Linked DNA regions of Coturnix japonica. The protein of the gene in region 3 interacts with the protein of the main gene of each other region in a pairwise test. Links are inferred from orthologs where the notes say so. Each region holds a gene or a part of one and is shown on either strand. Other genes may lie near its edges.

Region 1 (4,299 bases), on a different chromosome or scaffold from region 3:
AACCACATGGAAATGAGCGATGCAGGAGCATTTTTCCCATGCTCTTGCCCTCCCTGGCTTTTCTCCATCACCGGTCCCTGGTGACTGCCATTAGAATGAGCTGCCCCAAACCCTTCTTCCTTCTGTTGCTAAAGCGATTCAAACTGCTTTCATAACTTCATCAGCTGCATGGCACTTTGCTCACTATTGATGTGACAGATTCAGTTCCCATCTCTGAGATCACAGAATATCCCTGGTTGGAAGGGACCTCAAGGATCACGAAGCTCCAACCCCCCACCACAGGCAGGGCCACCAACCTCCACAATTGATACCAGTCCAGGCTGCCCAGGGCCCCATCCAACCTGGCCTTGAACACCTCCAGGGATGGACGGGGCATCCACAGCCTCTCTGGGCAGCTGTTCCAGCACCTCACCACTCTCACAGTAAAGAACTTCCCCCTGACATCCAACCTAAATCCTCCATCCTTCAACTTCAATCCATTTCCCCTTGTCCTGCTGTTATCTGCCCTTTCAGAGTTGCCTCCCCCGAGATCATCTTCCAAACAACAACAGAAAACCTCAGTGCAACAACAGGCACAGCTGCATTTCCACTGGGTGGCACAGCTCTATCAGCAAAGAGCTTCTTCTGTCACTGTGACATGACTAATGCCTACCAGCAAAACCTCATCTACAACAGGAGTCCTGCCCACATAACTGTAACTATCCAACACAGCTACGCAGATCAAATGGAAAAGAAACCAATGACAGCTTCTACTGCAGCTGCTCCATTTAGGCCTCAAGCACCAGCAGTTTATAGCTGTCCCTTCTCCATTTTTAGGGTCTAAAAGATCATCTCAAAGATGCCACACTCGAGCACTGTGCAACCATTTAGCCTGACCTGCGCCTTTACCCATTAGGAGAATAAATGGCAGTCAGACCGAAGATGAAAAGCAACAGATTCATAGTTAGCAGCTGCTTTCGATGCGGCGATCTTTCTGTTCTTTCCTACGCCTGCTTTGACGGAAAAGAAGGCAGAAGGAGGGTTTTTAGGCTTCAGATTGTCAGCACTGATCTCATCCACAATGACAACCACAATGATGCTCGTTAGCGCCTTTGCTATAAATTACCCACTACCAGAAAAAACAATTCAAAACACAAGTCTTACCAGTTTCCAAGACCTGTAAAATATACAGCCAGAAGGAATTGTAAGCTGTTCTGTTCCTCCATATAAGACAAGCTGTTCCGTTTTACAGCTGCCCCCCTTCCTAAGATGAGACCTGATCACTTCAGGTGCTTACAAACAGATGATGCCCAAACCAGCGACTAGAAATCACTGCTGAGAACTGCAAGTGTCCATTGCCAAAGCTCAATCCTGGCTACAACTTACGAGCAAGTTTTCCACCCAGAGGGTGGTGACGCACTGGAACAGGTTGCCCAAGGAGGCTGTGGATGCCCCATCCCTGCAGGCATTCAAGGCCAGGCTGGATGTGGCTCTGGGCAGCCTGGGCTGCTGGTTGGTGACCCTGCACACAGCAGGGGGTTGGGACTGGGTGATCACCTCCATCTTCCTCCTATCAACGCTATATACTTGTGAATTGTCAGCTAAACACGAGCACTTAGCAAAGGTCCTCCAGCACCGGGTTGTTTTTAAAGCAACACCAAAACTCTGTGTCATCTGCCAGTATCAGCCTCACCGATGACGAACTAAACTCCACACCCTTCTGCAGAGATTCCTTTCCAGGAAGCTTTTCAGGATACAGCCTCAATAAATGGACGCGGTTGGTACCTTTTCATGTTTGAATTCACACTGTTAAGGTCTGCTTGAATGAACTCCAGCTTCAAAAATACCTACAGTGCCTCTCCTCTCATCGGTCCCACCTAAGGAAGGGAAGCTTTGGGATGTGCCTTTTAAAAGAGCTATTATTTAAAGAATAAAGGCCTTTTTGTTTCCTACATCCCCGGACTAAACGGTTGAACAAACAGCAGGAGGTGATTCGTGCCTTCCATGGGATGCACCTCAAAATACCCCTTCCCTGGGAGATAAGCAGCTCCCCAGGTAGATCAGCAGCTCATAAGCAGCTCATAAGCAGCTGATAAGCAGTCCAGGGCTCTTCAATAGTGCACTGTGCTCCCTTTGTCAGTGAGTCACCACCTGAGACAACGAAACGACTTCTCACAAGCTACAACAGATTGGGGACATCACAGAACCACAGAACTGTAGGGGTTGGAAGGGACCCCTGGAGATCATCGAGTCCAACCCCATCTCTTCAACCATTTAAGAGGTGGGTTTTTAGGCCCAACTCAGTATCCCTCCCTCCCACTGAAGGTACAGACGCAATAACCGCTTGCATTTCTCTCCACGTAAAACGCTTCACAGTTATTTATACATCATTTCTATACCCATCCACAGGCTGAGCCCAGATCCCCCCAGCACACCCCCCGGCCGCAGCAGGTCGCTCCCCTCCCCCCGAGCCCTATATCGCTGTTCCAGCCCATCCAGCTCAGCTCCTCGCCCCTCCCCTCAGCGCCGCGACCCTCGGCACCGCCCCGCTGCACAGGGCCTGGATGGGCACGGCCCAGCAGCCCCCGGGGGCGGCCCTATGGCTGTAGGGAGGGGCGCTGCACCCCATAGCTCCGTTCCTCCATCCCCACCCCTCATCCCTGTGTGATGGTGCCCGTGTTGGGGCCGGTACCTGCGGTAGAAGCGCAGCGCAGCACAGGCCGGAGTGGAGGCAGCGGGCGGCCCGCAGCACCACCAACACCGCTACGGCAAGGAGGAACAGGAACTGCGTCACACGGCCCGCCCTAACAGCGACAGGAAGGGCGAGCACCAGAAGCACCGCCCGCTGCCATTAACACCGCCCCCATGTCGCCATTACTTCCTTCAGCCCCCACCCCACACACACTGTGCCCTACCCAGCTGTAGGAGCGACCCCCTGCTGTGTGCAGGGTCACCAACCAGCAGCACAGGCTGCCCAGAGCCACATCCAGCCTGGGCTTGAATGCCTGCAGGGATGGGGATGGGATGGAACAGCGAGATCATCAAATAAATGGCTTTGAAAATCACAGAATTATCAAGGTTGGAAAAGATCTAGAAGATCATCTAGTCCAAGTATTACCAATACTTCCCGCCTAAATCATATTCCTCAACACAACATCCAAAAATGACGTTGTCCTGAGTTAATAAGTGCTCTTTCTCAAGGCAGAAGCTTGTTGAAGTAAAGATAAAGTCATAAAACTGGTTCAAAGTGCAAATGCGCCCTATTGAGGAGATGAGATGAACTGGATGGAGCTGGAAAGGAAGCGCTGCTGCTTGTTGTGAATCACAGAATGACCCGGGTTGGAAGGGACCTCAAGGATCATGTAGTTCCAACCCCCTGCCTGGCAGGGCCACCAAACATACACCTTTACTAGATCAGGTTGCCCAGGGCCCCGTCCAACCTGGTCTTGAACACCTCCAAGGACGCGAACATCCACAACCTCCCTGGTGCAGCCTGTTCCAGGGCCTGACCACTCTCCTAGTGAAGAACTTCCCCTAACATCCAACCTAAATCTTCCCTCTTTTAACTTAAAACCATTTCCCCGTGTCCTGCCATTATCAGCCCTTTCCAAGAGTTTACCCCCTCCTGGCAAGTAAGTTCCCTTCAGGTATTGAAAGGCTGCCATGAGGTCACCCCGCAACCTTCTCTTCTCCAGGCTGAACAAACCCAACTCCCTCAGCCTGTCCTCATAGTTGAGGTGCTCCAGCCCCCTGATCATCTTCCTGTCCCTCCTCTGGACCCTTTCCAAAATCTCCATGTCTTTTTTGTACTGAGGGCTCCACACCTGGACACAGTAAGTTATGAGCAGGTGAGCTGTCATGGCAGACACTGACAGTCGCTGGTGTTCCACTATGGGTGCCTTGTGACAAGGAGTGGATTTCTTGGGGTACATTTTCTTTGCACGCTGGAGCCCTGATCACACATCAGTAGAGCCCTGATCACACATCAGGCCATTGCACGAGCTGCTTTCAGAGCTCAGAGCTGCAGGTTGTGGCTGGCGGCAGCAGGGACAGTTCCCTTCACTTGTTCTTCAGTGAACAGGAATGAGAAAATTCACATCAGTGAAACCCACCTGACTGTCTCTTCTTCCCCACCCTCTCCCTCCCTCATGGCTCCAGGCCTTTCGCAATCCTCTTCCTGTTCTCCCCTCCCCCTGCCCAATTGCTGACACTGTTTTCTGGTCCGGTGTTGCAATCTTCAGTCTCTCAATGAGTTTTGTGCCGTTTGCTGCTTGGCTTCCAGCCACGGATCCCACTGACAGATGATAACATGAAATAATG
Region 2 (3,500 bases), on a different chromosome or scaffold from region 3:
TAGTGCCTCATTCCCACTGTCCATCTGTACAAACCTTAAAGCTGGATGTGTCTATGAAACACAGCACTTTGGGAGTACAGTTTGGGTGCTTGAAGGATGCTTCCTTCTACTACGTCTCTTATATTAATGCTTCCCAACTACAACTCTTACCTCCGGTGATGGTGTAGCATAAGCTGTATAGGGAGGAGGGGCTGAGGAAATCGCTGTCTCATCATACATCACGTCAGATCCAACGTAGCCCTGAATGCCATGGAAAGATAGCAGACAACACCTTTTTGTGCAGACAGCCAATTAGAGGAGGAAGGGGTTTAAAACTTAATGACACCAAGAGAACATTTAGATCTGCTGCATGTTAAGAAAGCAGAGAGTGCCTCATAAAGCTTTATATGCTTTAATATGCTCAACAGATAATGTTCCTATCAGCTCTTCTAACTGGACTACAGAAGGACTTTTGATGGTGTTTTATGGACATATCCTAAAGGAAACTTGTGGTAGAAATTCTAAGAATTGTTTGAAACACATTGTTAAAAGCACTATATTAAGAGGCAGGTATTTCTAATGCCTGAGATGAAGCTCTATGAGTGCTCAATTCTCAGCAGTAAATGTATTCTGTTTTGCTGCAGGAAACTCTATACAGGCATAGGACATAAGCCTGCAAATGTCTTTAAGTGACATAGTTCTCAAAGCTAGGATGATCATCTGGTTATTCCAGTGAAGTTATGAGGCACTACTAGAAGCTTTGTGTTTTTGAAAGCTGTATCAAGCACCAGCAAATGGACTCAAAGCCAATTTCCTGACCAAGCTCAAGTCCAGTTGGAGAGCTGTAATAGCTCTGGAAAGTACTGATTTCATATATATCTTGTGCAGACAGCTGTCTGCCCTACTTTCAGTGGCCGGGGTCTGCCTTGGCTGAAGAAGTTGAGGCACTGGCAGGTTTTTAATGTCACGGGGCATAGTATCAGGTGGATGAAAAACAAAGGCTCCTGAAATCAGGAGTCACTGTCTCACATACAACAAGATAAATACACTAAATCCAGAGCAGACAGATTATGAGTACTGTGTCCTCTGCATGAGGAATACTCCTTAACTTCTCATTTAACAAAATAACACACATAGTGTAGCTGTACGCTGGCAATTGAGTCCAGAATAGTTTTGCAATGACATGTGTTTGCTTTGGGCATCTAAATTATATCATATGACAGATGTGTCAGTGAAGAGGCAATTTTAATGTGACCCATCAAACACTGAAACAAGCTTCTTCAAAATACTGCATTTTCCCACTGAAACATCTCAGGCTGGTTCAATCTATTCATCTAAGGACAGACAGGGCTAAAAAGCATTCTGGAAGGCAGTCTGGAGGAAGAAGATCTTTACAGCTCCCAGAAGATACCACTTCTGGTGAGCTCTATGACTCACAGAGAAATTCTTCTGGTTTCTGAACTCTTTGCTAAACACAGCTAGCATGCTGAAGCAGAGGTAACGTACTCCTTGGCATACCTACGCTTCATTCCAGGTACCTCTTGCTTTCTGCCAAGAGCCATCCTGCTCTATAATGGATCTACATTAAAAACATCTTCCTTTTTAGGTCAAAAGTGTAGTATACTGATAGTAAGCTTCCTTTAGCACTTGGTAGACCACAAATAGAAGGAAAAGAAAGTCCATTTTCACTGGTTACAGATTTACTTTTTGCATAAAGCCTCAGTGCACACTTCCTATACAGACCAGCTTCCCACTTATTCTCACTCAGAGAAATTACTCTCAGAAATCACTCAGTCCGTATTTGCCTCACTTTGGCTGCATGGATGACATGCAGGTGATCCACACTCCTCCCCCAGCATATAAGCTTTAATCATCTTCATAACCTTCTAGTAGAGGTTTTCAGTATAAAGTAATGCACTTACTGCATTTGTCCTGGCATCCTGAAGAGCAATTTTCCATGCCCTGTCAAAAAAACAAAAAACGTTTAGTGGAACACAGATAAAAATGAATGCCTCTTATTCATTTTAGTACTATGAAGAAAACTATGTTAGGAACTCCAGGTAATGCAGGAGCAGAATTTCAGATGCACCATGTGTCAAAGCCTAATGATACTGTAAAATGAATGCATCAAAGTGTTACACCAAGACTAAAAATAATTATTTCCTTAGCAGAGCTGAGATGGAGTAAGAAGGAACAAGAAAAGGACCCTGATAAGGAACACATCTGAAGGCCTTTGCTGCAAGTCCAACAGGCAAGTGATACAAAGCCATGCTTAGGACAAAATAATAGGAAGAGATGCATCAGAAAACTTGTATCTTCTTCCTGAAGAGTTGCATCTGTGCAGCTTGAACAGAAGGCACACGCACTCCCTGCAGATACTCCCATGCTGTATGGCTGACAGCGTGCCCTACAACTATGAATACTTGGCAAACACTGGTGATAGATGTTATCCACCTAAACACAGTCAAGGTCACAGTACTGGAGTACTATTCTTTTTAATGACTGGGAATTCCTTGGGCTACGCAGGGTCTACTTCAAGGAGGAGAGAAGTGAAAATAAAACCTATTCAGAATGTTTTGCATTAGCCATATTACTAAGATGCTTTTACTCCTCTCATCCCCCAGTGTTTCCAGTGACTAAACTTGCAGTTAGTTTGCAAGAACTGCATCTATGTGAGTTAAACAACTCATGGAAGAGCCGTCTTTTTTGTAGCTGAAATCCTGCTTTAAAATGTTCTTGAAATATATCCCTGAAAAACTGAAGGAAGAACAGTAAGGAGAGGGGAAAAAAAAAAAAAAAAAAAAAAAAAGATAAAAGAAGAAAAAGTAGCAAAAAATAACATTATTAGGTAGACTTACAAACAGTCATCTGCACTTTCTGCACAGAGGTTGATGGTCTTTCCATCCCGACAGACAATCTGCAGTAAACAGTCTCTCTGCTTTCCCTCCGGAGGCTGGAAATCTGAGTTGGGGAAAAAGAAGAGATAAGAAGAATTTACAACCAGAATTTCACTGTCCCATTTACAAGAAGGGCGACAGCTTATGCAAAACTCCTGACAAAATAAACTGTGGCCAATTGTAGCTGCTTTCCATGACATCAAAACAACTTATAGTAGGACATAACCTGCTCTCTTTAGAATACATCCTGAAGGTAACTGGCTTTGAACTAGCTCAATAAATGCAACTGTCTTACAGCTGAACCAACCTGTACCTAGCTGTAAGTATTGCCCAACACTTATGTTGGGCACTGATGCACATCAAATGGAGTACTAATAAATGCCAGAGCTGAACTTTGTAACGCTTGAGAAAAATCTGCTAAGGTTCACCATTTTGTATCCCATCTCTCCCTCCAGCCAGCACTGTAATTTCATCAGTAACACTCCATGATCAAACACACAAGCCTACTGCAAACATCCTGGTCTCTCATGCAAGCCTGCCACCTGCATGTAAGGTATACTGTCCTCATTGAGTTGTAAAAGGAAGTACCAAGCACTAACCTAATCTGTCACATGGTGATATCAC
Region 3 (4,115 bases):
CTGTTGTCCCCCAACCCCTTGGAGATCCTGGGAGAGCTTGTTGAACGCAGGAGGTTGGTGATGGTGGATTTAGCAGAAAGCTGAGCATCGCAGAGAGCTCTTAATTTCATCTCTCTTTCTCTGTTTCCAATCACTGCTCTGTATATGCTCTCAAGTCCCTCTGTTTCATCTAGCAACCAGTCCCTGTAAGAATGTGAAATATAGGGATTCTGTTGAGAGCTTGACATTAGATTGAACTCATTTTCTTGACTGCTTCTATGCCTTGCATTTCTGTTTCATTTATGCTCCGTTTAAGCCTCGAGTATTCCTTCTCAACCGGAATGAAACCTACCTCCAGGACACTGTTCTTCTCCAAAGAACCACATAAAATGGGAAAATTAAAACAAAATCTGAACTTAACACACCTATTTGGGAATAACTGAAGTTGGGTGATGGCGTTTCAGACTGGAAGCCATGAAGTCCTCTAGGACTTACAGTGGGGTGGCTGCCAGGGCTGAACAATGCTGTGTCTCTAAGGCACAACTCAGTGTTTGTAGTGGTTCCCTACTCAAAATCCTCCTTTAAATTCCACGTTGCTCTTTCACAGCCAGGTATGTTCAATAACTTAACGTATCATCCATTTACTCTCCTCAGCTTGAGGGGAAGTGATGCTCTGTGCATGCACTGTACAGATACATATATAGTACATAAATGGATTGCTAATATTAGTGAAATCTGGATAGTTAAATGTAGCTAATTATCTCTAATCATAGGATCACCATAATTGGCAGGATGCTGCTTTATCTCCCTATTTTTAAAGAACAGATACCTTAAAATCCTCAACAAACCTATACTATGGGCATAAAAATAGAAAATTGCTGTCATTTCCAAAGAAAGCTTATTTTCTACAATGCTTTATCCCATCTTTCACTGGGATTCCTCTCTCCATTGGTGGTTGCAGCCACCTCCGAGGCTGGAGGTGGACACCTGACCTCACCTGTAGGGATTTTAAGGAAGTTCCCTTGAATTCTGTACAGCGATTTGGTTTCATTGCTTCAGGTTTGGTATTTTTGGAAGGTTCATTGACTCAGGGGGGTGTCTTTGAATAGCTGGTGAGCAATGAACTGCACTGTGTGAGTGTATGCTGAGGGCACTTCTTTGCTGAAGAGCCTGTTTGCTGAATGCAGGGAAATGCTGCTGGCAGAAAGGGTCAGAGCAGCTGCCCAAAGTAACTCAAAGATCAGCAGGAGAACAATGAATCATTTCTCTGACCCTGAGGAAGGTGCTTTAGCCACTGCGCTTTGCTGGCTGTTTAATTTCATCTTAGTTGGAGGTGTTGAGTTTGTTACAGGTCCTTGCTGGTTGTCCCAAATCGTTCTTATCTGCTTCCTCAACCCCATTACAGTGGCGTGAGGGTGGGCTGCAGGGTGGGCTGCTCTCACTGCATTAGATTAATTGCTAAAAACTGAACCTATATATTTCTAATGGTGGCTTTGCTTATGTCGTTTAATAGTTCACAGTGGTTTATACCTTATCTCTTTGCTTGGACTTCCAAGCAGCTGGCATGACCAAGTTACGTGGCTGAGCTTGTGCTAATTGTCAAGATGTTTCAGCAGCATAAGTTGACCTGCTGCTGTAGGCCAGTGCAAGTCCATTGGCTTCACTGGTTATTCTTGGGTTGTTTGGTTTCACTTTGTGCATTTATTCTAGGCCAGTTATTACTGTTATTGTTATGGATATGGAAGGGAAAGGAAAGGAGTCAGGGCTCCAAGATGTACTCCCTGGGTTTCACAGTGACACAGCATAGGGCATTTCCCCTTCTGATCCTCCACGTCTTCAGCTAAAAGCATCGAATTATCAGCTTTCTCAATCTGTGATGTTAGTCTTAAAAGATACGACAGCTGTTTTTCACTGTATCAGGCAAGATGTGTGACTTAGGCTTTAAGAAGTGGACACGAGCTAATAACTTGCTGATTGATAGCTGGACATGTAAATTTCACTCTTTTTCTACTTCAGGAGCATACAGTAAATATTATCCCATTAATCTGAAGAGCATCCTTCCCTCCCTTATCACCATTTGTCCCGCAGAACATGATTTGGCATAATTTTTTCTGTGCTAAATTCAGCTTCTCTTTGTAAAGATCAGCTGTTTACAGTAGCTTCCTTATAACACTTTAATTTTCGATTTTGTTCCTTTTGAATGCTGCTTTCACTTCTTCCTGTAAATATTTTGATGTGTGTGTAGTTGTTTTGCTTTAAATGTTGTGGGGAAGCAAAAGCAGCAGCTGCTTGTGGTGCTTCAGATTTTCAAGTAGCTGGCTTTCATGGGACAAGCTCTCCCAAAAAGACTGGTTATATTGGGACAAATGGGGATACTCTGTCCCATTAAGAGGCTGCCCAAAGCCAACACAGCACCCCTGTGCTCCAGCTCTCTGTTTCTAGGGGTTATGAGGGCTCTGTTGGAGTCAAGCCCCTTGTCCTGCAGTGCTGGTGGTCACTCACCCGCTGTGGGCACCGTTCTTGCTCCATGGGGGTCCCTGTGGGTCCATGCAGATGATGGGCTGAAGCTCCTCGGGGGGGCTCTGCATCCGTTTCCAGATCTCATGGCAGGCCTTGTCCAGCCCGTCTTGGGGCGTGTTGTCGTGGATCCAGATGTGCCGTGGGTATGGCCCCAGTGGGAACGGCCCCTCTGATTTCACTGCTGGGGCTGCAAACCCATTTATGCTGGTGAGCATCCTTCAGCCTCTATGCATCCAGGCTATCTTCTTGAGTGGTGTTTTGTTTACATGGCAAACGGAAAGAAGAGCCGTGGCAACCACGGAACGCCAGGTCCTGGCAGTTGATAACTGAAATATCTGCTTGTCCTTGGCACAGCTGGGAGCTTCCCCTCTCATAAACTAGATCCCTGTCTTTCCAGGGTCAGCATTCAGCTGTCCTGCCCCCTTCTTTCTGTACTGGAGCTTTGCCTCTTCCATTTAATGCGCAGGTGATGAAGCTCCAAAGAGCGCATGGCTCTGCTCACTCATGCCTCTGCCCAGATAAATGTTATTTTCTCCCTACCAATAGTGATGATATGGTTAAGAAAGAGTAAAATGTGGTAGTTAGTAAGATGTTTTGCATTCCTATGCTGGATGACTAGTGGTGAAACTCTCTCAATTCCTGGCATAATTCCCTAAGTGTGAATGGTTCTGTGGTTCCTCATTCATCACCAAGGGTTGTGTTTGTGATCTTCATTGGGGGGAAGAGAGAAAGGAGAGTCCAAGGGACATGGGTTGGGGTTTGTGCCTGGTATTGGCATTTGTTCTATGTGCCCTTGCCAAGCTCTCGGGTTCTCAAAGTTCACTGTTTGGGCAGGGAGGAGAGATGAGTTGCAGTGATAGATGTTGGCTATGGTGATGGATTCTACGTTCATCACACTGCATTTAGCAAATAAATACTTTTTATTCTTAAAGAGAGAGTAAGCTTTCGTTGCTAGGTGTGGGGCCACGCTTAGTTGGGAGCCCTTCATTTGCAATAGGTATGGCGTTATTGCCCAGGAATAAAGTGGGACTGTGTCTCCTCAATGACTCGATTATGCTGGCTGCTTGCTCCCGGTGCGGGGCTCCAGACCTTGGCTCGGCTGTGCTCTGCTGTGTGCAGCAACCCAGTTGCATCTCCGGCTACAGCCTGGGGGTTGGGGGCCGAGGTGGATGGCTGTGTAAGGGAGAAGCGATGTATAGAGCTGTCAAGTGTGGTACCCTGTTCTGTGATCCTTTTCGATTTGGATCCGTGCCTTTGAACAATAAGGTCTATTTGAATAGGACACTGCAGTTTAAGCAGACATAAAGCAACTCTTTCATGTAACAGCGCTGGTTGCCTTGGCTCTTGGCATTGGCTCACAGTGTAGGCAGTGGAAGGATTCAAATGCAGAGGGGACACAGGGAAAAGGGAGCGAGAGAGAGGCTGGATCCGAGGGCGGAGGGGCAGATTTGCGAGCCCTCGATATCATTTGTTTTTAAGCTGTCAAATAAGCTCATTCAGGGCAACCGGAACGAGCCCCAAGAAGGGGGTTTTGCAGCAAAGCAACTGCAGCAAAAGCAGGGCGGGGGTTGGGGGCGGCCCCGAGCCGGGCTCGGCTGCTTCGCCCTGCTCCGTGT
Region 4 (3,500 bases), on a different chromosome or scaffold from region 3:
CAGCCAGATCAGAACTCTCTGCAAAACTGGGTATCTACGTGACAAAATTCCCTTCTAAGATTGGTTGCTGAGGATAACATTATATCCTGGCTGGTAAGCCAATACATCTCTCACAAGCATTAGGGATTCTTTAGGAAAGGAGCCAACTCCAGTTGGGTTCATGGAACAACTGCTTCTTTTGTATGCCTGCACTGCCACCAGGCATGACTTTGGGCTGGTTCCAGCCTCAGCTACGTGACTCTTCAAACTGACCAAGGAAAGAAAGAAAACACACCTCCTCCACCTTAACTGAGCCCATCGAGTGTTCACTTACAATTGCATACATTGCAGCTCCTGTGGGAAATCCAGGCTGTGGATTAAAATAACTGGAAAACTTCTGTCAGAAAGAGAATAACTTTTTAAAGAGAAACCTCAGTCTGAAAAACACTTTTTGGATAGTTTCCGAGCCAGTTTTTCCTCCACGTCCTGTAAAAATGGCTCTCAGCCCTCAAGGATGCAGAAAAACAATGGTGACCAAAATAACTGTTCTCTGGGGGCAATGAGCAACAACGCCAAAGAAGGAATAGTCAATAACCACTATTTACCTTTAGGAAAATTATCTTAATAATTTGGCATATATATTTATATACACATATCTCTACACATATATGCAGGCATACTTGGCTGGTTGCAGAGTGGTCTGTCACAGGTGTGAGCTGCACATACTGGACTTGGATATCGCTGCCTTGCAGTGGGGATCCATCAACTCCTCCTGATGCAGGCTCGGCAGATGCAACAGCTATCAGCTGAGCACCCTGCAACACCTGCAAGCAGAGCAAAGGAGAAACAGCTTGTGAACAGGCACAGCCAGGAACGCATTAGGAAACATCGACCTGAAAACAGATGCAACAACCAAACATGATTCAACAGAAACTTGAGAAAATATGTACATCAGTAGCAGTTTAAATAATGTGGGTCCCAAGGAGGTGGTACACACATGGAAGATTCTCACATAAGATTCTCACTGCATTTTGCCTTATGAGACCTGTATTCCCTGGAAGGGTTAACGGGCACCACACCTGGAAAGGTTTGGCTCCCTTATGATCCTAAACACAAAGTAAGTCATCCCCTATCTGTATCAGCACTAGCAAAGGAATAAATCATCCTGGTGGCCTGTGCTAAATAGGTCCATTTTAATTCCAACTCATTCTAACAACAGTTAGCACACTAAGTCACCAGTCCAATTACCACGTCTATATTCTCTGAGTGCATCCAATTCCCTACCTGCAACCCAAGCAAAAGCAAGGCTTGTAGACTTAAGAAGCCAAAGAGAGGGAAAAACCAAAGCACTGATTATGCTGTATAGTTTGTAAGCATGAGATGGTCTGTTTCACAGCTTGCAGCTATGAAAACTGATCTGTTTATTCTGCCAGCCGGCAGATGAGCGCAGCAGCTCCATCAGCTCAGGTTCCTCATAGGATGAGCTCTGCAGCCACAGCACTGAACTGGGGGAATCTGCTTTAGAAACCCCTTCTACTTGGTTTTATGATGGCAGAAAGAGAGAGGGTGGAGGGAGGGGGTAACAAAAGGCAGACACTGAGTTCACTTCTAGCATCCTCACACCTTCAGGTTGAAGATCAGAGGGTAGAAGCCAGGTTTGCTGGGAGGAAAAAAAGGAACTTGTTCAGTTTTGCTTGCTTGCTGCTGTCTCTTTGCACGGAAATATTGCGCTCCCGTGGCTGGGAAACATTTCAAAAGAGGTTTTTTTGGCCAACTGCTTCCAACGAGAGATAGTGGCTTTCCTAAGGAGTGGGCTGTTACCGCCCTCATGATAAATGACACCTCCCTAAGCGCTGCAAAAGATAATTGATGAAGGGTTCATAATTCTGCTAATGATTATTGCAAAGGGTAAGTGGGACAGACAGAGCAGTCAGCGCTGCTGTAATGTCAATAGCACACAGCCACCCCCCAGCTAATGTGTTCACTGTTATATAAATAGAGAGACGGAGCCAAGATACTTATTCTCACAGCCAAACACATTCAACTTATGACAATTTGTTGCAGCAATGTTTATCTTCCCATTGTACACGAAGGTGTAGATTTACAAATTACTGCTAATTAATGCTCGCAGCCACTGACTCTACACATCTTCATGCTGGCTGGTTGAGGCTGGGTCCCCTGTTAGCCAAAGAGCAACAAAAGAGCAGATGCTTCACCCAAAATCGCTTGCTTAAATGCATCCCTGTGACGAGAGCGACTGTAATTTACTACTTAAGTACAACTCAGAATAAAATATACATATGTGAACAACAGCAAGTCCCCCGATCTCATTTCAAAATGCAGCCAAAATACACAAATTCCGTTTAGGTTTCTATATGCTGTGAGCGCTGTTTTGTTTTTAACTACCTCTGGTATTTGAACCACAGCGCTCAAAAGATGCCTTTCAAACAGAGGAAAGAGAACTGAGAGCAAAAATAACATTCTGAACAAAAGCTTCCCTTACCCAAGTATGATTTCCCAGCTGATGGGAGGGTGGGTGGCCGTGAAGGAGTGGGCAGCACAACCCCTCCCTGGGGAGTGTGGGAGGCCAAGAGGTGACCCCTAGGAAGGACCTTTGGGGTGTTGGCAGGGTTTTATGGGGATCTTGGGTGTTCCGAGATACGGTCAGCACTGAGCTGCAAAAGGATGCTGCGTTCTGTTTTTACAGGAGCAAGCAAAAGCCTCTTGTCCTGCACTATTTACTTTGGAACGACATGATACGCCCTGTCAGAACTACATGGCAGTCTGTCCTATTGATTATCCGCAGCTCTAAAATGCATCTTGTCTCATTAACTTCCAAAGCACAAACTTCAGGATGACTTCAAGCAACCAAACCAGCCCCTTTCATGCACACAAATTGCTTTGACAACAAAGAAGCCTACAGCTGCTAACAGCACCAGCTTCCCTGTCTTAGGATGTGTAAAAGGACAGAGTTCATACAGCAGATCCAAACGGATCCAAACAGACCCCCTCTAATCAGGGAGAGCAAGCTTACCAAGATAAAAGCCCCAGCCCTATGACTTCAATCTGCCTCATTTCATATTGTTTATATATTGTTTATATATAATATATTCGTATTCACATTCCATTGTGTTTGCCAATACCACAGGTTTTATAGGGAGGCTGCAAAAATGACAGATATCAAGGGATCAATGGCTTTAAGTAGAGCAGTGAAGGAGTGGTAAAACAGAGACCTCAGCAATAGGGGCAGGTGTGAGGATATGGCTTTTCTTTGGCTGCTCACTCGGCTCCCAGACCAACACATCGACTTTGTGATTCTTACCTGCCCTTGACCTTAAAATAAAGGAGTTGTACCACAAAAATTAACAGTCTGCCCTGAAAATGAACCTCTGAAATGAGCTCTGCTGGGCTCCTCTAACATCCTGCCTCGCTGCTCCAAAACAGGTAACAGAATATGGTTAAACCGAAAAATAATAAACTTTCCTTCTAACAGAAGGGATTAATTCGTGCTCTGGACACCC
Region 5 (3,152 bases), on a different chromosome or scaffold from region 3:
CATCTTCAACCTCACGCACATCAGCGCCGAAAAGAGGAAAGGTAACGCCATGCCCCGTGCTGGGGTGGGGGTCCCCGTCCCCGTGCCGCGGGGCTGCCTGGTGCCCGGCTGAGCAGAGGCTACACTAAACCTCAGCTTCCCATGCGGCAGACAAGGAGAAGCTGGTGGAGATGCTGCAGGCCATGAAGCAGAAGCCCACGCCGGCTGCTGTGGTGGTGAAGAGCTCTCCGCAGGACAGCCCCATTGGCCCCAATGCTGGTAAGCTCCTCCATTCCACTTTCCCTATTCACCTCCTGTGCCCAATTGGGCACCACTGTGCCAACACTTCTCCTTATCTACCCCAAGAGCCACCGCTGCTGCTGGACCCCGATAAGCCTGTGGGTATTGTCACCTCCGTGCCTGAGGTGCAGAAGCCATCGGAGCCGGGCAGAGTGGAGCCTCTGAGAGCTGCAGAGCTGCCCAGGGTGAAGGAACCAGCTGAGAAGCCCCGGTTGAGCGATGGGCACACGGGGAAGAAGGCACTGAGCATCCTCAGCTACGTCAGGGGCCCTCTGCCCAAGGACATCCCTGTGCCGCTGTCCCACAGCATGAATGGCAAAAGCAAACCTTGGGAGCCCTTCATTGCTGAGGAGTTTGCCCACCAGTTCCACGAGTCCGTGCTGCAGTCCACACAGAAGGCGTTGCAAAAGCACAAAGGTACCGAGCCGGGGCAGGGACCCCATGGGGATATAGGGAGGAAATCTGTGGGTTGGCACTGTGGGAAAAGGCATTTGTTAACCCCAGTCCCAGGGAATCCCTGGGAAGGATGATGGAGAGGCAAAAATGTGCTGGGAAAACACAGCACAGGCAGCAAAACTCATTTGTGGGGCTGAGAAAAGTCAGCAGGGAAGGGGGGCTGACACTCTGTGCCTGCAGGGGGGACGGCGGAGCAGAACCACAAACTGGACGCCTCCATCCACTACAACATCCCTGAGCTTCAGGCCTCCAGCCGCCCTCCTGCCCCACATAATGGCACGGCTGAAGGGCACAGGGCACTCGCCCCACCGCTGCCACGGGACCGCCGTGACTCGGCCTCTGAGGATGAGGAGGAGGAAGATGAGGAGGAAGATGAAGAGGAGTGCCCCAGGCCCAAGTGGCAAGGGATCGAGGCAATTTTTGAAGCTTACCAAGAACATATAGAAGGTAAGGACTGGGGAATGGGGCTTGGTGGGGTGTTAGCCACAGGGCCATGTCACCAAGCATCACGTCATGCCCTGCTGCCCCCAGGCTTTGACAGCCAGACCTTTCCCACCCTGCTGGCAAAGGGAGGAGGTTTTGTCCTGGGGCTGGCAGGGAGTGATGGCTTTCAGATGCTCACCCCATCCCTGTGCATTGCAGAACAAAACCTGGAGCGCCAAGTGCTGCAGACACAGTGCCGGCGGCTGGAGGCCCAGCACTACAGCCTGAGCCTGACAGCAGAGCAGCTTTCGCACAGCATGGCGGTGAGTGGGGCTTCTGGGGGGGCACCTGGACTCCGTATGGCACCCTGGCCTCCCAGAGAGGCACCCATCCTTCTGCAGGGTCCCCATTGTCCTCTAAGGTCCCCATCCTCCTGCAATACCCCCATCCTCTTGCATTAACCCCAAATCCTCCCTCCTGCAGCTCCCCATTCTTTTCAGTCTCCCCCATCCTCCTGCAGCACCCCCAAATCTTCACTCACTGCCCCCATCCCCTGCAACCTTCCCATTCTCTTGCACTGTCCCCATTGTCCTACAAACACCCCCATCCTCTGTAGTGCCTGATCCTCCTGCAACGGCCCCATACGCCTGCAGTGTCCCCATCCCCCTTCAATCCCCCCTATTCTCCTCCAATGGTCCCAGTCCTCATGCAGTCTCCCCATTATCCCCAGCCTTCTGCAATGTCCCCATCCTCCCCTAAGGTCCTCATTCTCCCCTAACATCCCCATCCTCCCCTAACGTCCCCAAATGTCCCCATCCTCCCCTAATGTCCCGATCCTCCTTAAGGTCCCCATCCTTCCTTAAGGTCCCCATCCTCCCCTAATGTCCCCATCTTTCCCTAACATCCCCATCCTCCCCTTAAGGTCCTCATTGTCCCCTAATATCCCCATCATCCCTTAAGGTTCCCATCCTCCCCTAATGTCCCCATCCTCCCCTAACGTCCCCAAATGTCCCCATCCTCCCCTAATGTTCCCATCCTCTTTTAGGTCCCCATCCTCCCTTAAGGTCCCCATCCTCCCTTAACATCCCCATCCTCCCCTAATGTCCCCTCCTCCCCTAATGTTCCCCTAAGGTCCCCATCCTCCTGCAGTTCCCCATTCCCCTCTATGTTCATCCCATCTATGTCCATCCCACCCCCTGCACCTCCCTGACCGTGTTCCCTTTTCTTTCCTCCCTACAGGAATTAAGGACCCAGAAGCAAAAGATCGTCTCAGAACGAGAGCGACTGCAAGCGGAGCTGGATCACCTGCGGAAGTGCCTTGCCTTGCCTGCAATGCAGTGGTCTAGGGGTTATTTCAAGGGGTATCCCAGGTGACGCTCCTTGGGCCGGGCCGAACATAATAGTCTAGAAATAATAATAATCTATTTTATTACCTTGAATATTTAATATTTTTCACTGGGGAGGTTTGAAGCTAAAAAAGAAAAAAAAAAAAAAAAAAGAAAAAAAAACGAAGAAGAAGAAAAAAAAAATAGAAGGAAAAAAAAAAAGAATAATAATAATAATAATAAATAATAATAATAATAAAAAAGAAAACGAAACAGAGAATGTGCCATGCATGAAGCAAAGGGCGGCAGGAAGGGGGGGGGGAGGAAGGAGGGGAAGGGGGGGGCTCTGACCTTGTGTCCTCCCCCCACCCTTCTGCCCCCCTCCCCACCCCCCCCAACACACACACACACTTTATATCGCTCATTTCTTGTTTTCTAAGTCCTGATGAAAGACTCCACCGCCCACAACACTAAGGCTGGAGGAGCCCTGCAGGGGGAGGGGGGCACCCCTTCCTTCTCATCCCACCCCCCACTTCCCATCACCCCCCCACCCCCCCCCAGCTTTGGGCTCCCCCAGCACCGCACTCGGCTATAACCAATAAAGTCCATGAACCCCTTGGAGCAGCGCTTCGTTCCTGGGGGGCACAGAGGGGGGAGAAGGGGTGGGGA
Region 6 (4,081 bases), on a different chromosome or scaffold from region 3:
TCCCATCCCATCTTCATCTTCATTCTTATTATCATCCCACCTTCATTCTCATTCCCATCTCATCTTCATCCCCATCCCATCTTCATCCTCACCCACATCCTCATCCCATCCTCCCCATCATCCTTATCTTCATTCCCATCCCCATCCTCATCCCATCTTCCTCTTCATCTTCATTCTTATTCCATTCCATCTCATTCCTCATCCCCATTCCCATCTCATCTCATTCTTATTATCATCCCATCCTCATCCCCATCCCATCTTCATCTTCATCCTCACCCACATCCTCATCCCATCCTCCCCTTAATCCTTATCTTCATCCCCATCCCATCCCATCCTCATCCTCATCCCTATCCCACCTTCATTCCCATCCTCATCCCATCCCTATCCCATCTTCATCATCCTCACCCATCACATCCTCATCCCATCCTCCCCTTTTCATGCCCTTCATCCTTACCTTCCTCCCATCTCCATCCTTACCCCATCTCCATCCCCATCCTCATCCCATCTTCCTCTTCATCTTTATCTCCACCCCCATCCCATCTTCATCTTCATCCTTATTATCATCCCATCCTCATCTTCATCCCCATCCCACCTTCATCTCCATCCCATCCCATCCTCATCATCATCCCTATCCCATCCTCATCCCATCTTCATCCTCATCCCATCCTCCCCTTAATCTTTATCTTCATCTCCATCCCATCCCATCTTCATTTTCATCCTCACCCATCCCATCCTCATCCCATCCTCCCCTTCATCCTCATCTTCATCCCATCCCCATCCTTACCCCATCTTCATCCCATCTTCCTCTTCCTCTTCATTCTTATCATTCCATCTTCATCCTCATCCCCATCCCATCCTCATCCTCATCCCTACCCCATTCTCATCTTCATCCCTATCCCCATCCTCATCCCATCCTCATCCCATCTTCATCCTCACCCCCATCCTCATCCCATCCTCCCCTCCATCCCATCCCCATCCCATCCCCCCCCTCACCCCATCCTCATCCTCATTCATACAACGATGCCCCGCCCCCTCATTAAGCCCCGCCCCCAGACTACAAGGCCACGCCCCCAATCCTATTAGCCCCGCCCCCTCTGCTCCGTTCTGACACCTGATTGGTGGCCGCTCCTCGCCCCAAACCCTTCACTTTGCGCATGCGCAGCGTGGGGTGCGTCACCTCCAGTGGGCGGGGCTTAACGTGCAGGGCGGAAGTGGGTGGGAGGGCGGAAGTTAAACAAGGCGGAAGTAGGTGGGAGGGCGGAAGTAGTAGGGGCGGAAGTTAAACGAGGCGGAAGTAGGTGGGAGGGCGGAAGTTAAGCAGGCCGGAAGTAGGTGTGCGGCGGCGCTCTGGCTGCCGGTACCGACTCGTTGGTTGGGCCTGGAGGCCGCGGCCTGCTGTGGCCCGGCCCGGTCCGGAGGTAAGGCCTGAGCCCTGCGACCTACCCGCCCCCAGGCCCACCCCCATCCCGGAACCATGGAGAAATTCGGTATGAACTTCGGAGGAGGCCCGAGTAAAAAAGAACTGCTGGAAACCATCGAGTCGCAGAAGAAGCAGCTCCTGAATTACCAGGCCAGGCTGAAGGACGTGGTCATCGCCTACAAGAGCCTCATCAACGAGAAGGAGGCCTTGGAGGCCAGCCTGAAGGTGTTATCGGCGTCCCACGAGGCCGACATTGGGTTAAATGGGGCTCAGGCTCCATTTGTGGCCCCCTCCAGCTCTTCCTTTGCCTCCAGCTCTTCCCTTCCCTCCAACTCTTCTTTCCCCTCCAGCTCTTCCCTCCCCTCCGGCTCTTCCCCTCCTTCCAGCTCTCCCCATGTTGATCCCATGGATGATAAGAGCTCAGTTCACAGCGAGGACAGCATGGGAACGGCCGCCAGCGTGGACACAACAACCAGTTTGGGCAGCACGAAGGGCGAGCAGGGACCTGAGGATGAGAAACACGCAGCAGCTGTTAAATCAGATGAGGGGAATGGTTCCGAGGTCGGTACTGGTACCAGTAACAGCAATGGGGACGTGCCCTGTGCTGCCATTGAGGCCGATAAGCGGGTGCTGCAGCTGAAGAGCCAATTGGCCACATTGACCAGCGCCCTGTCCACGGTGACGCAGGAGAAGTCCCGCATGGAAGCGTCATATCAAGCCGACAAGAAGAAGATGAAGCAGGACCTGGATGACGCCATTAAAAAGGCGGAGGATGAGACTGACAGGTTGGAGACGGAGCTGAGGGTTGTACAGGAGCAGCTGGCAGAGACCAAAGCTCGACTGATCACGCAGCAGCACGACCGAGCCCAGGAGCAGAGCGACCACGCTGTTATGCTGAGGGAGCTGCAGAAGCTGCTGCAGAGCGAGAGGGCGTTGAGGCAGGACGCTGAGCTGAAGCTGGAGGAGACCAGGGAGGCATTGGCCGGCCGGGTGTGCATGGCTGATCGTGCTGAGGGCTACGAGCTGCAGATCAAGCAGCTGAGCCAGGAGGTGGAGGAGCTGAAGAGAGAACTGCAGGCTGTTCAGGAGGAGAGGAAGAAGCCGGACCCCCGGGTGCAAGACCTGCAGGAGGAGATGGCCAACCTGAAGAGCCACTTCCAAGCGCAGCTGCTGCAGGAGATGAGGAAGGTAATTCCCTGCTTGAGCCCTAGAGCAGCCCAATGTAGGGGGTACCAGAGCAGCAGATGGAGGCTTGAGGAGCCCAAATTCTCCCTGTGCCACATGCCACAAAGTCCGAAAGATTTCAGATAGGAGAAAATACCATAGTTTCATCTGATGGGATCATATACCCTGAGGAAAATTAAAGCTGTTGGCAATGCAGTGTATAAATCAGTTAACCACGGGTGGTTTAGGAGCAGTCTTTGTGGGAGTTACGTGGTGAGCATCGCTTGGTTCCGAGCAGCAGCTGGATTTGGGAGGAGAGCAGTGGCAATGAGCGTGCTCTCATCATAAATGCAATGCAAGGTTCGGTTCGGACTCTCTTAAAGGGAACTGACCTCCACATCCCCCTGCATGGAACTGTAATAGGTGAGCGGTGAGGCAGGTGGGCGATAAGGGCGGCCTGCTGAGCGAGGTGCTGGGCTGTGCATCTTGCTGTGTGTCTCTGCAGGCTGTGGGGCAGAGGGATGGAGGGCTTTGCTGCTGAGTTGGCAGCTGGAAGGACACCAGCATGGGATCCTCATTTCCCCACAGTCTGGAATAAGTTTTCAGCTTTCTAATCTGAAGCCTCTAATTATCAGCTTCGGGCTGATGGGATGCGATTAACCTTGTTTTGGAAGTGATACCCAGCAGCTTCTGTACGACAGGGCTGAGGATGGGCTGATCCCAGCTGTGTTTTGGCTCACAGTGGGGACTGAGGAGTGGTGCCACCTTCCACGTGCTCTTTAGGAGGTCAGATCTCGATGGTGATAGAAGCTGTGAGCTCCAGTGTTTGCTGTAGCTACTCAGAGCCCACTGAATTACGTTAATATTGGTGTAACAAAGCTTAGCATTTAGGTACAGTTAGGTGTAGGAAAGCTTTAGGGCACACTCAGACATGAAAAAATCCCACAGTGAGGTGAGCTTTGTGCTTCATGCCCTGCACATGCCTCCAGCAATGCACATTAATGCTGCTAACAGCAGGGAACAAATACAGAAACGCACTCGGTTTGTTTCATCCTTGAGTCTCTGTTTTAAAGATGGGCGTGTGAGAGTGTGGGGTGGGGGAGGATTGTTTGGAAACTAGGGAAAGGGTGTCCCTGTGCTTGCTTGGAGTTGTTCAGAGCAGAATGAAGGCCTGTGTAATTGCAGGGTGGTCTAACACCGCTGCATTTCTTTGCTTACAGACTGCACAAGCAGAGGAGCAGCTCCGGCAGCACGCCCAGATGGAGGAGCAGCGCGTGGCCGACCTGGAGGGGCAGGTCTCTGAGGTGTCAGGGCTGCTGGGCACCTACGAGAAGGCCAAACAGAAGGACCAAATGGTCATCCAGAAACTGAAGGATCGCATCGTGCAGCTGGACCAGGAGAACAAAACCTTGGCCATCGCAGCCTCCAGCCGATCCCCTGCTGATGTGAACGTGGAAGAAGCCAATCTGGATGTGAACGTTCTCAAGGATAAGATGG
Region 7 (4,150 bases), on a different chromosome or scaffold from region 3:
TTTGAGGTATGAAGACTGAACATTCGAATGTCGTAAATGAATTTGTCCATTGAAAATGATCGTTTTTCTTTATTCTTCTAAACATTTTGCTTTTTTCCTCCCCTCCCAGTTCCTGTTAATGTGCATGATCTTGATCTGTCTTTGATTTCTAGCCCTTCTTTTTTGAGAAGGGTTTAATGTTTTGTTGAAGAAAGATTAGAACAGTAAATGAAGCTGTTCAACTCAGCTAAGAGTCCTGAACATTGCTCATCTACTCTTAAATGTTTGTAATTCTTATTCAAATGTTTTATCTGATTTTCTCTTTTTTAAATCTATAATCTTTTATTCCCATTATGGTCTCAGGTAGCTGGAGGGCTTTTTGTCAATCCCAGGAAGTTATTGAGATTGGTGTGACTGCACAGGCCACCTCCTTCAGATCTTGTTCTTCTGCCAGTAGCTAAATGATGTGTTGTTTGATGTGACAGGGCTGTCTTCCACACTGGACATTCTTGCTGATCTGTGCTAAAGGAGCCATTCATTTTGTTTATGTGAGATTATTGAATAGTAGAATGGCTTGTATTGAAAGGGACCTCAAGGATCATCAAGTTCCAAACCACTTGCCACAGGTGGGGTTGCCAACCACTGGATCAAATACTAGATCAAAACCCCCTCCATTCTGCCCTTGAACACCTCCATAGATGGGGCATCCACAGTCTCTGTGGGCATCCTTTTCCAGTACTTCACCACTCTCTCTGTGAAAAACTTCCCAATGTCCCTAGAGCTTGAAATCATTCCCCTTATTTCTTATTTTCTTATAATCTCCCCCTTTGCTCTGCTGCTCTGCCCTCTTCTGATGCAGCCCCTAGAAACCAAACTCTGGAGAGAAGATGCCAAGATGATTGGATGCACTGCATATCATAATATGCACTGCATATCATAATATATGTTTGTCTGAAGCACGCTGCCAAAAGTTATTTTGGAGGAAGATCTTCAAATCCTTTATGAACAGAAATATGCACTTAATATAGCATCTTCTGAAGCCTGGCAGTCTAGTTTTGTGAAATTTTCAAGGGAAAAAAGAAGCCTTATGATAAAACTGCAATGAGTTAGTGGGTAATTTCTTTGATTTCAGTCTAATTCTAGTTGTTTTAGCTTGATATCCAAGCATAGGCAAGATCAGACTTCTAACTCCTTCTTTTCAGTATTGCAGATCAAATATAAACACAATATCTATCTAGAGGATTTACTGGATAAGCACTGCATCTGAAATCTTTGTGTTCCAAGATGTCCTTGTGATGTTGTGCCAGACAAATAAATAGCTGCTACTGAAGTATACTGCTTACACACACACACACACACACACATATGTATATATATATATATATATATTTGTTGTTTTTTTCCTGTGAGGCTGAAGGGAAAAGAATGTCTAATGCCTGAAGGAAACATAAAGGTAAGTTCTGTGTTAAGTTTAAGAAGCTGTTTTTGTCATGTGAAACCAAAAATCGATTATAGGTTAATGCTGTAACATCGGAAGACCTTTAAAGATAGAAATGTTTGCCAAATAAAATATATCATCCAACTGAAAATTCATTTTTGTTTAGAATAATTGGAGCAGATCTGCATGTTGTTGTGGTTGGAAACAATTTCCCATAGGAACAGATAGAGAAAGAAAAAGTACTTATTACCTGCTTCCTGCACGGTGGGTTTTTTGTCTTTTATAACGTAAGTCTCATGTGTGTGGCTGTGTGCAGCTGCGATACTGTTCTGTGGGAGCCTTGCTCTGGATTTCTTTAGGTCACTGCTGACCCTCAGGAAGAGTCAGTCTTAAAGCACATATATACAGAACGCAAATGCTGGCATTATTTTTTGCTGTACTACCCCCAAGCCGTCTATACAGCAGTTATATGAGGTGTTTGCCATGTCTTTGCTTCCATACCTGGAAAGGCTCCAATGCAACCTCACAGCACTGTAAGTATGGATGCCAAAGCACTTTCCTGTATATTAACTCCAAAATATGTTCTGTCCTATGAGTGGATTTATCTTTAATAAAATTCTGTGTGTGAATAAAAGCCAGACACACGGCATGCCTGGCTGGAAGGCCATCCAAAGGTGTCAGGGTGTGTCTATAGACATGCCCAGCATTCGTCCCGTGCTGGTCTGAAGTTACACTAGCTGCTGTCTTAGCGCTAGAGGGTGCCCTAGGACAGGGAAAGAATAAGAGAGGAAGGATCTGTCTTTACATTTCTGAGAGACAAAATTACATTGTTGTTTTTGACCTCAGGTACTTCCAAGGGCCTTCCACAGCTCTACTAACCCATATGTCCTTTTTGTACTTGTAGAGACTGATTCCAAGCAAAGGGATGAAGGGAGAATCTTCACAATAAGTTTAGAGTATTCTCTCATTCATGATCATAGCAAAAACAAACAACCCACCACCAATAATACTGATAATACAGTTAGCAAAAAACACCCAGAAAGGTACGTGCTCACTCTGTTATTAATATGACAACTCTGGCATGAAAAGAGATACACTCAGTGCTTTCTTTTCATATTAAGTCTATTTGTCTCCTATTTTTTTTTCCCCTTATGAAAAACCTACTGGGTATTTCTCATTAACATTCACTGCACCATATCAGAAAGAAAAGAATATCTCTTGACAGTCTTGTGCTAAAAGGCTCAAGTGGTACTTTAAGCTTTATCATTGTCAATCCTGATTAATCCCACCTGGTTCTTTACAATAACATGGGGTTTGTGTCACTGTGACCTGCACCTGGGGGTAAGTGATAGATGTGTAGCTCACAGCTCTGTAAACCATTTTGAGTTCATTTCATTAAAGAAAGTCTTAATTAAGGGCAAAAGCACATGTGAGGATTAAGAAAGAAATATGTAGCTTTTAAGCTTGAAAAAAATCTGGTATAACAATCTCTAAAGTAGTCAGGAGCTGAGATCAATTACTGTGGTCATCTTGCAGAGATGTGCATGAAATAGGACAGTGAGATGGAATTGGGGCTGTGAACTGACTGCAGGATCAAAAAAACAATCTTCTGCCGTGGGGAAAAGGAAAGTCGCACTTCTGCCCACAGTCAGGAGTTATCTGTGCGACTAGATGATTGTATATATATCTTAGTACAAAAGCATTCAATTATATAACCCCAGTGGGAGGAATACTTCTCAATGTCTAAGCACATCATCATATTAAAGGAAACTGCCTGTCTAAAACTAAGTCAACAAATGTGTTAAAAAGTGATTTTGCTGTGAGATCAGTCACTGATACCCCCTTACATTTATTTCTCAGCCTATTTTTTCTCTCCCTTCCTTTTCAAAGACACAGTAAATTAAAGAATAAATTGAATATAAATCAGTATACATGGTAGGATCATATGGGAACCAAACTGGAATGAGATTAGTTGACAAAGGTCATTTGTCAGTGTTTCAGACGTAGTATTTCCTATGTGAATACTTGTGACTCTTAATGTATAACTGCAGTTAGCTTAAGAACTTGACTGTGTATTCACTTTCTTTTCTTTTTAATTGTTAAAGGTTTTTGCCAGATTTGGAGGGCTGTTCACAAGAAATGATTTACAGCTGAGTTTAATTTACAAATAGTCATTGCGTGAGTTATCTAATGTAGCACTGACCACATGTTGCTCAATAATAATTAGAAAGGATAATGTATGAACAGCAAAGCTTCATTCTCTACAAGAGAATCAGAGAACACTTCTAATGTAAATCACACTGGAGATACAGTTTCCTTAGGTTATACGCCCAGATGCTTAAACAGAGTAATTTTCTCTTCTAAATATGTGCTTCTGTATACTCTGTTACTCCTTCAATATGTGATCATTTGCATTTTCTCTTGAGAGCTGAACTCAATGTATTCTTAAAGAATAGTTAGTTAATTGAATCAATGTGTAAAAGCACTGTGCTATATGAATGTTGGAAAGCATTAGTTTGAATATGAAGTTGTGTCGCTTAGGAATGTCTAGACTTACGTTAGATTTCCATCAGATTGGAGTGGGTAAGAAAAATATTAAGGTTTAGAAATTCATAGTGAAAGTTATTGAGCTTGCAACATCAATTCACAATGCTCAGGTTGTCAGTTCAAGTTCAACCAATTAAGAGTGCTGCTATGACTCTCCCAATAGATAACACTGCTGGAAACACTTCC

What was found.
Region 1: the proteins of C23H1orf94 (region 3) and MAPK1IP1L interact in binary tests that used the Homo sapiens proteins (3 or more experiments, as listed by UniProt). The two-hybrid records come from large-scale screens. The link is inferred for Coturnix japonica from reciprocal best matches to the Homo sapiens genes C1orf94 and MAPK1IP1L.
Region 2: the proteins of C23H1orf94 (region 3) and PLEKHB2 interact in binary tests that used the Homo sapiens proteins (3 or more experiments, as listed by UniProt). The two-hybrid records come from large-scale screens. The link is inferred for Coturnix japonica from reciprocal best matches to the Homo sapiens genes C1orf94 and PLEKHB2.
Region 4: the proteins of C23H1orf94 (region 3) and BANP interact in binary tests that used the Homo sapiens proteins (3 or more experiments, as listed by UniProt). The two-hybrid records come from large-scale screens. The link is inferred for Coturnix japonica from reciprocal best matches to the Homo sapiens genes C1orf94 and BANP.
Region 5: the proteins of C23H1orf94 (region 3) and GSE1 interact in binary tests that used the Homo sapiens proteins (3 or more experiments, as listed by UniProt). The link is inferred for Coturnix japonica from reciprocal best matches to the Homo sapiens genes C1orf94 and GSE1.
Region 6: the proteins of C23H1orf94 (region 3) and GCC1 interact in binary tests that used the Homo sapiens proteins (3 or more experiments, as listed by UniProt). The two-hybrid records come from large-scale screens. The link is inferred for Coturnix japonica from reciprocal best matches to the Homo sapiens genes C1orf94 and GCC1.
Region 7: the proteins of C23H1orf94 (region 3) and T-box-containing protein TBX6L interact in binary tests that used the Homo sapiens proteins (3 or more experiments, as listed by UniProt). The link is inferred for Coturnix japonica from reciprocal best matches to the Homo sapiens genes C1orf94 and TBX6.

The regions. Positions count from the first base shown.
Region 1 is NC_029520.1:51,141,109-51,145,407, forward strand, and holds the start of MAPK1IP1L (MAPK-interacting and spindle-stabilizing protein-like), read right to left. Parts: upstream 2,801-4,299; 5' UTR 2,672-2,800; intron 1-2,671.
Region 2 is NC_029524.1:1,001,502-1,005,001, reverse strand, and holds part of PLEKHB2 (pleckstrin homology domain-containing family B member 2), read right to left. Parts: intron 2,941-3,500; coding exon 2,838-2,940; intron 1,942-2,837; coding exon 1,902-1,941; intron 241-1,901; coding exon 151-240; intron 1-150. UniProt on the Homo sapiens protein: Involved in retrograde transport of recycling endosomes.
Region 3 is NC_029538.1:4,086,562-4,090,676, forward strand, and holds the start of C23H1orf94 (uncharacterized protein C1orf94 homolog), read right to left. Parts: upstream 2,801-4,115; 5' UTR 2,715-2,800; coding exon 2,482-2,714; intron 184-2,481; coding exon 1-183.
Region 4 is NC_029526.1:16,147,893-16,151,392, reverse strand, and holds part of BANP (protein BANP), read right to left. Parts: intron 804-3,500; coding exon 660-803; intron 1-659. UniProt on the Homo sapiens protein: Controls V(D)J recombination during T-cell development by repressing T-cell receptor (TCR) beta enhancer function. Binds to scaffold/matrix attachment region beta (S/MARbeta), an ATC-rich DNA sequence located upstream of the TCR beta enhancer.
Region 5 is NC_029526.1:15,698,913-15,702,064, reverse strand, and holds the end of GSE1 (genetic suppressor element 1), read left to right. Parts: coding exon 1-41; intron 42-135; coding exon 136-258; intron 259-345; coding exon 346-696; intron 697-915; coding exon 916-1,182; intron 1,183-1,377; coding exon 1,378-1,481; intron 1,482-2,397; coding exon 2,398-2,532; 3' UTR 2,533-2,652; downstream 2,653-3,152.
Region 6 is NC_029516.1:516,954-521,034, forward strand, and holds the start of GCC1 (GRIP and coiled-coil domain-containing protein 1), read left to right. Parts: upstream 1-1,281; 5' UTR 1,282-1,474; coding exon 1,475-2,608; intron 2,609-3,804; coding exon 3,805-4,081. UniProt on the Homo sapiens protein: Probably involved in maintaining Golgi structure.
Region 7 is NC_029530.1:7,255,187-7,259,336, forward strand, and holds the start of T-box-containing protein TBX6L, read left to right. Parts: upstream 1-1,350; 5' UTR 1,351-4,150. UniProt on the Homo sapiens protein: T-box transcription factor that plays an essential role in the determination of the fate of axial stem cells: neural vs mesodermal. Acts in part by down-regulating, a specific enhancer (N1) of SOX2, to inhibit neural development.